2 linked regions of the Coturnix japonica genome follow. The protein of the gene in region 2 interacts with the protein of the main gene of each other region in a biochemical or structural test. Links are inferred from orthologs where the notes say so. Each region holds a gene or a part of one and is shown on either strand. Other genes may lie near its edges. The genes, in order: MYCBP and AKAP1.

Region 1 (4,470 bases), on a different chromosome or scaffold from region 2:
TGCAACGCAAAGTCCCACCCATTTAGGACCCTATTGGTTGACAACGAAGCTTCTCGCAGCCGATGGAGGAGGTGCTGGGAGACGCTCCGGTCATATGACGGCGAGGGTGGGGACATGGGGCCGAGCCGATATATGGAGCCCCATATATACATAGATCAGCCCCTTCTCAGCCTGCACACACATGCTATACACTCTAATTTACCTCCTGCAATAGAGTTGGGGGTTGTTTTGCCTTTGAAACTCTTACACTGTGTTATTTCCTCTTTCAGCTCCTTCCTACACACACGGAAGTAAAATGACTGACCACAAATAGAGCTGCACACCCCCTGCTTGTCCTTATAGTTGAGATACCCACAGAGACACACAGCACTCACATAGAAGAAGCAGGAGTGCGGTTCACAATAAGCCCTTTATTAATAAAGCCAAGGTACGAAAGGAGAAACTACTGTTATTCATCACGCTTCTCTTCTTCAGGTGGTTCATATTGAGCCAGCTGTGGATTTAAAGAGAGGCAATCAGTTAGATGGGGCATCTTAAAAGACACAGGAGCAGCAGAGTTGGATGTTAATGTTCCATAGGGGTAAAGGGTGACCTCCTGTGGTAAAACCCAGCCACAGACCCATGCCAGGCCTCAATAACTAACACTATTTCCCCTCCTGCTTTGGAATGCCTGAATAGAAAAGCATTAGCTTCCCCCCAGCCCTGCTTTACAAAGCTCTTATGGAACCATATACACATTATCAGATAACAAATGGGACTGAATGATGAGATGGAGTTTCCCACTATCCCTTAATTTACTTATTTTGTTAGCAAAAACTGCATTTCAGAATACAAGTCTTCCATCAGAAGCTACATATAGGCAAGGAATGAGATAATATTCCCAAGGCCAAACCCTATAACATCATAATCAGTTATGGCAGTGAAAGTTAGCTGTATTATAAGTGCCAAAGCACCCTTATCAAACACAGAAGTACTTAGGAATACTAAAAAGACTTGAACACTAAATAGACTTTTACTTTGGATTTCAGTTTCTCATTCTCTTCCAGCACAGCTTCGTATTTCTCCTTCAGCTCTACCAGTTCCATACGAAGCGCCTCCATTTCTGGACTCTCAGGAGCTGAAGCTCCCAGGTGATGCTTCAAAAAGCTGATATTGTGATGTTAAGTATTTCCTCAGCTCAACAGGCTGCTTATAACAGCAAGAACCAACCCATAGAGGACAGAAAGGATACTCCAGTGCGCTGCTTGGTTTCTCTGGCTCTTCATATAAGGCCACTAACACTGCAAATACAAGACGAACAACCATTATAAGACATCCATGCAACTCTAGTTTCCAAAACACATACAGCAGACAGAATAAATACAAGTTGCACACCAAGCTCACAGCATGTTCAAGATTCTCACCTATATCCTTCATGTTAAGGACAGAGATCATCATCATAGTATCTTAGTCATGCACAAGGTGAAACAGAGCATCCTATACTTCAATGGGTGGGCAGAAGGGATTTCTTTGACCCACAGGGGACGATAGGGCTGACAATATCAGGACACGGGGAAATGGTTTTAAGTTAAAAGAGGGAAGATTTAGGTTGGATGTTAGGGGGAAGTTCTTCACTAGGAGAGTGGTTAGGCCCTGGAACAGGCTGCACAGGGAGGTTGTGGATGCCCCGTCCTTGGAGGTGTTCAAGGCCAGGTTGGACGGGGCCATGGGCAACCTGATCTATGGGGTCTCTATGGGGTCTCCTGGGCAACCTGATCTAGTAAAGGTGTATGTTTGGTGGCCCTGCCAGGCAGGGGGGTTGGAACTACATGATCCTTGAGGTCCCTTCCAACCCGGGTCATTCTGTGATTATGGAGCACAAAATGAATGACATAACACACACACACCCCACCATTCTGCTTTGATAAATGCTTCTCAAGGAGCTTAAGCGCCTCCCTCCCATTTTCAGCCACACAAACTGCACAGTTTTAAGCTAAACACTTAAAGTTAGAAGCCAAACTTGCTTGCTGCAGGGCTTGGAAGATTTGTTTTGCTTCCACATTGCAACAGCACAGCCACAGCCAGAGGAAATCAAAGGGCTCCAACACACCTGGGCTGAGCACAGAGCACACCCCTCACAGCTGCTACACCCCATAAGCAACGTGCTTTATTAAGTAGGAATATAACACCATGTTGAAAGGATCTTGAGAGCACAAAGGGATCATAGAATTATGCAGATTGGAAAAGACCTCAAAGATCATCAAGCCCAACCACAGCCTAACCAGAACCCTAAAACAACCCTACACTAAATCATACCCCTTAGCAATCATTTAAAGCACAGTGAGCCATAAGAAAGAGATAAATACGTTGAGCTTTCAACGTGCTTTTCTTTCCTATCCAGATAAGCACAGACACCTCCATTAAACCCCAGTATTAGGGGGCTGGCACAGCACATTCCCATTGCTCGGCCCCAACCCAACCCATACAGGCCTTCAATCCTCCTTACCCTTAGTGAGCGTATCCAACACCCCCGACTTCTCCAGGTAGCGCCGAAACTGCTCCCTCTTCGAATCCGCGGCCTGAAGGAGGACGCCCACACTGTCAGAGCACCGGCACATCCCTACCTACACACAGCTCGACCCCTCCCCACCACCAAGGGTTTGGGGGGTTATAAGGAAGGCCCCTCCACCCTCTCGGGCCCGCAGCCCCTACCTTGTGGTGCGCCATCTAACCCCGCAACGCCCGCACCGCCACCGCCCGCCTCTTATATGGCGGCCCCGGCTTCCTACCGTTGGCATGGCGACCCAACCGGAAGTCCCGGTCTCTATCTCTGCGACTAGGCCTTCCGGTTGTGGGAGGTTTGCGCATGCGCGGTGCTTGCAGGCTTCGGCCTGGCCCTGTATCTATACCTGTATCTATATAGATATGTTGGTCTATATGGCTGGCAATAAGAACCCATTCAGAGCCCTATATCTGCCCTTTGGGTTCCTTTCTAACCTTCCAGACTCTTGAGCTGCTACATACGAGCCCCTCAGTGCTGTCTCTTTGCTCTTTAAGCTGTGAAGTCAACACGTTTTTTGCTATAGAGGTGTCAAATGCAAATGGGGTATTCACATACACAGCATGGGGTTAAATGAGCATAATAGCACCTAAATATATCCAAAATGTCCAACCCTACATCTACACAGAGCTGAACGCACACACACTGAGAACACAAACAGCAGCTGCTGGAGAAACACCTGCAGTGAATGGATCTTCCACCTCATTTCATTTACTGGTCTCCATACAATAGATTCTGAGACTGTAATTTGTTCTTTTATGTTTATTGCTTACATATTACCAGCTATTGTAATCCCAGCTTCTCCTCCTGTGTGGCTTTGTATGTGGATTTATATGATGTATATGATGTATATGGTGTAAATGATGTATATGATGTATATGTTGTATATGATGTATATATGATGTAAATGATGTATATGGTGTATATGATGTATATGTTGTGTATGGTGTATATTATGTATATGGTGTATATTATGTATATGGTGTATATGATGTATATGTTCTCCTTAGCTGGAAGGTTAATGCAGAAGATTGGCACAGAGGTTGAAGCCATCCCTCCATCGCCAGCGAAGCAAGAAGTTACTGAGCTAAAAGCAAAGGGCTGAGCTTCTATCTTAACCTCTGCGGAAGAACTGGTTAAAGCTGAATGAGGAAGCTGCTCCTGGGCTGCTCTTATCACAAAGCCCAGCAGTTACCCAAGCACAGTGCTTGGGCAGCCATGCTATATCTGCAGGTCGGTGGGGGCTCTCCGGCTGCTTGCACTGCTTGACAGCGACAGCCGCCCTGATAAGGGCAGTGGTTGGGGGCTGCCACAGCCCCTGCTCTGCTTGGAGCCAGTGCTGGCCTCCCCTGCTGAATCAGGGGTGTTGGGGCGGCTGGGGTGCCGGGTGTCAGCTTTGGGGGGCAGTTGGCTTGCACTGAGGCTGCTCCGTCTCCTGCTGCTGCTCTTTGTAAGGGAGTTTGTGGAGGATCCAACACTCTCAGCTGCTGTGCAGCAGTTCCAGGAGGAGATGATTCCGTGCTGTCTTCTGAGGCTGGCAACAGGAAAAGGCTGCAGGGGAGGCTGCGACAGCATCTCAGCAAAGCTTCTCGAAGCTGTATCTGCATTCTGAGTACCAGCAAGGAGGTGTTTCTGATCAGCTTCTTTCTGCGAGTTCCTCCTTTCAGTCGCAGGTCTGCCCAGCAAACCTTCCCTGCACTCTGTGCTGGCATTCGGAGTCTGACCAGCTAAAGCATTCGTAGCTGGCCTTTTCTTGGGCAGTTTGTTTTCCTGGTTGTGCTGGGTGTAATTGCCTCTGTTTTCTGCGTGGTTGTTTTGAATGGGCTGGAAGATGGGAGCAGAGTTTAAGGCTGGGTAGATGGCAGTGTCTGTTTGCTTCTCCATTAAAAAGGCATAACCACCAAGTACAGAAGGGAGAGTTTTTGGAGGAG
Region 2 (3,744 bases):
TGCTGAAGGGAGAGGATGAACTGCTTTTCAAAGCCACTAGCTAACTTCACGTGAACATGAGTGGTTGAGGAATGAGGAAGCTTTAAAGACAGAAGTGTTCTTTTGCAGTACCTCTGCCATTAATATTTTGATCCTAAATGAAGTAAGCTCAGGAGCCTCAGGCCTTTCCTGACCCTGCAGCGTGCAATACTATAAAAAGAAGCTCTGAAACGTTTCTCCCACAGACTGGCTGCACTTGAATGGTGCCAAACACACTCTGCAAGCACTGGCAGCCCAAATCTCACAACCTGCACAGCTTATAGGGGTACTGCTGCTAACTGCACACACACGATGCAGCAGGAAACTCTCATGTCCCAGCCAATACAATTAAAATCCACTCCGTGAAGATGAGACAGGACATGGCTTCATTTTGGAAGAAAGTCATTCATTTCCTATCTATGGGTTACAAAATAGTTTCCTCTTTGTGTTCCCCACCTTGGGATGATCACCAGAAACAAAGGAATTCCCTGCACCTCCAGAATACCAAAGGAGGAAGATTTTCTCAGGGCATGTGCAAACCCCTCACATCTGCGAGCAGCAGCATAAACCCTGCCACCCATCTACAGCCTTGGCAGAACCTGCACAGGAGTCCTGCCAGCCACAAGTTCCAGAGATTAAAACCCTGCCCAATGTTGTACCCCTTCTGCACCCAGGGGGGCAGGATTTTAGACACCAGTACGGGAAACACTGCTAGCAAAGCCAGAGCCTGCCACCAGGGGGTGGGGAGAAACAACTGAAAACACAGCAAGCATTTCTAGGCAGCAACTGACATCAGGGCGCTTGGAGGCAGCCTTCTCAAGGCATAACGTGCACATCAGTCTTTTCAGCAGGAAAATATCTGGTATTTGTCTAGCAGACTGAAAACCAAGTTTGCATTTACAGTTACACTATGTCTGAATGCAGCAGAATCTTTACAGCTGCTTCAGCTACAACCTGCCAGTCCTGACACGCTGCTGTTCAGGAGAGTAATTCATTCTCACCCCTATACAGGAAAAAGCCTGGATATTTATTATCTTCCTCTTGAGTAAGACAGACTGTGTCATTCTAGCAGATCCAGAAGAATAAAATACAATTTTTCCAATCCCTAATCCACTTCAGAGGTTGCAATAGGAGGGATAAAGTTTAGACAATCAATTCTGGCACACAGCTGGTGCGCATTTAAACCCACAGGAGGAACACCAACAGTAGCTAAAGAGCTCCATTACCTGGAAGTGGCACCACATTGTCTAGTAAAACTTCTGCTCCTTGGAAAGGTAGTGTTACAAAATCAGACCTTAAGAAGAGAATCAGATCAAAATAAGAACATGGCTTCAAATTACTTCTGTATTCTTTAAAGTGACATTGCTTAATCAACTGCTCTAATAGGAACTCAGTTTATAAATGATAATGGAAAAAAACAACCAACCAAAAAACAAACTATTCCATCAACAACCTAACTAGAAGCAATAAACTGCCTGCTCAACAGGACAAGTCAGTTTGAGCTCCAAGCAAATATCAGCTCTACAACAGAGCCTATGCTTCTTACCTGCAAGCCATTGTCACTCTTTCTAAAACAATTAAGTATTTAACAGGCTTGTATGCAGCTCTCCCAGCCAATGGGGATGGAGAACACAGAAGCTGAATTTTAGTCCTACCTCATCTATTAATGGTACATTTGGGACTCTAGAAGGCATCCGTTTGGTAAGTTTCCAAGCTGAAGTGGCAGAAGTTGCGTGGCTTTTTTGAATGGAAGTGGAGACAAATTGCAAGGGTTTACCACGCACCCAAGAATTCCACAGCCCCACTGCTGGGACAAACCATTTAACCATCTCCCACTTCAGTATTTCAAACTATATGGATGCATTTTATGCCTACTGAAGCCAGATATTGCCTCAGGCTGTGGAAAAGAAACTACAGACCTGATTTGTCTGAGCGTGTCAATCTTTACTCTCTCGTATCCTCCATAGTCAACGTATCTGATCTCCACTTCACCGCTGTCTTTGAAGTAGCCAACAACTTGTGCCCGCCACCATGCCCCATCAAGGCCTGGAGCAGCACAGATGATACCAACTGCAAAGAACAAAATACAGAGAAGCTCAGCATTAATCGATTTCTAGAAAACAGCACTTCACACCTTACTGGTACTACGCAGTTATTTACTAAGAGTCAACAGCATTTCTTACATTGCTTTTATTTTCTTTCACACCTCTCACATTCCCAGGTGAGAGGGCCAGCAGGTGAGACCAGCAATATGCATTCTGCCACTAAATCTCAGCCACTATGATGCTGTTCTATGCAAATATCCACTTCTTTTTCAGCCTCTGGTCACTAGCAGCCAGATCTGCTGTCTCCAACAAGGAAAGCAAGTGCTAATTACTCTTTCCCTGTTATGCACTTCACATTAAGTCCAAGTCACTTACCTTCCACAGGTGTTGGCAGGGTTGGAATTCCAGGCTGAGAATAGCAGACATACATCTGCTGGTCCAGGCTACGCAAGACATGGAAGGTGGGGTGCGTATGCTGCTGTAGAAACATGTGTCCAGCATTGACTTGGTTAGCCACAACCACTTCTACAGTGACTCCATCTGGGAGCATCAACTACCACAGGAAGGAAAGAAATACTCATCAGCTTTTCCTGTCACATAAGCTTCAGTTGCATTTAGAAACACTGTTTAATTCCTTGTTCCACGAGCAACTCCTAAAGCTAACAGCCACTGGTGGGAGAAAACCAGCATTCCAGTAGCTGGCTTCCAAAGGCTGCTATGGATCAGAACCAGAAAGATATCCAGCATTACTCTACACTAAAGGAAATCAGATCTGAAGACAGGCCCATCTTGTGCACAAAGACTATCAGCACAGAGCAGCTGTAGGACTACACAAAAGATCAGAGAGAGTCAGCCATAATCGTAGGTCAAGTCATGCTGCACTATCAATGCTGTTCAACTCCCAAGGAAGCCTCGCCCACAGGATTTTCAATATCAAGGCAACCTCTACAGGGGCTAAGATTTGTCACTGAGGTAGTTTCAAAAGTTAGTGTGCCCTGCCTACCAGAGAGCTGCTGTGCTGGGCAACTTCCCAGAACACAAAGCATTACTCTGCTCAAAATACATCAAAAGTGCCTTTAACTTTATTAAATTCAGTCCTCCTGAACAAAGCTTGTCTTCACATCCATGGAGACAGTTATGTGCACAGTTACTGTACAGATTCTAGATGCCCAATGCAAGCAGCGTTTCTAAGCATCTTGCAGCAAGAGCAGCAAAAACAATTATTCAATGAAACACTAATGTGTAAGCATTCTCCAAATGCAATTAGGTACCATAATGCCACCAGAGCCAGCAAACCAGGGCTTACCCAGGAAGTTATAGGGAGGGAATGAAGTGCCAGCGATGGTGGAGGTGGAGCATAGACGTTGGTGAGACTCAGCTCTTTGAACTTCTTGCCAATAAGGCTCAGTGCTTTTTCCACATGATGCTGGGAACCTGGAAGACACAAGTCCAGCACAGAGTCTGTTGCACAGATATTCTAAGGACATACATGTAGCTGTATTGATTCATGTAGGATACAAAAAACTTCCTAGGCTACATCAACAATTTCTAGAACATTAAGACTGGCCATTAAATCTGATGCTAGGGCCAACATGAGCAATGAAGGTTGCCAGGCCATCACTTCAACAGCATTAGCCTCCAGGATGATCTATTTCACAGAGTACCAGTAGATTTTTTCAGC

What was found.
Region 1: the proteins of AKAP1 (region 2) and MYCBP form a complex in vitro, tested with the Homo sapiens proteins (2 studies listed by BioGRID). The link is inferred for Coturnix japonica from reciprocal best matches to the Homo sapiens genes AKAP1 and MYCBP.

What each region holds. Positions count from the first base shown.
Region 1 is NC_029538.1:2,899,119-2,903,588, reverse strand, and holds MYCBP (C-Myc-binding protein), read right to left. Parts: upstream 2,801-4,470; 5' UTR 2,707-2,800; coding exon 2,692-2,706; intron 2,559-2,691; coding exon 2,486-2,558; intron 1,281-2,485; coding exon 1,232-1,280; intron 1,147-1,231; coding exon 1,017-1,146; intron 494-1,016; coding exon 449-493; 3' UTR 391-448; downstream 1-390. Other genes in the region: GJA9 (gap junction alpha-9 protein), read right to left, coding at 3,761-4,470. UniProt on the Homo sapiens protein: May control the transcriptional activity of MYC. Stimulates the activation of E box-dependent transcription by MYC.
Region 2 is NC_029534.1:7,714,934-7,718,677, forward strand, and holds part of AKAP1 (A-kinase anchor protein 1, mitochondrial), read right to left. Parts: intron 3,498-3,744; coding exon 3,370-3,497; intron 2,617-3,369; coding exon 2,439-2,616; intron 2,089-2,438; coding exon 1,938-2,088; intron 1,313-1,937; coding exon 1,245-1,312; intron 1-1,244.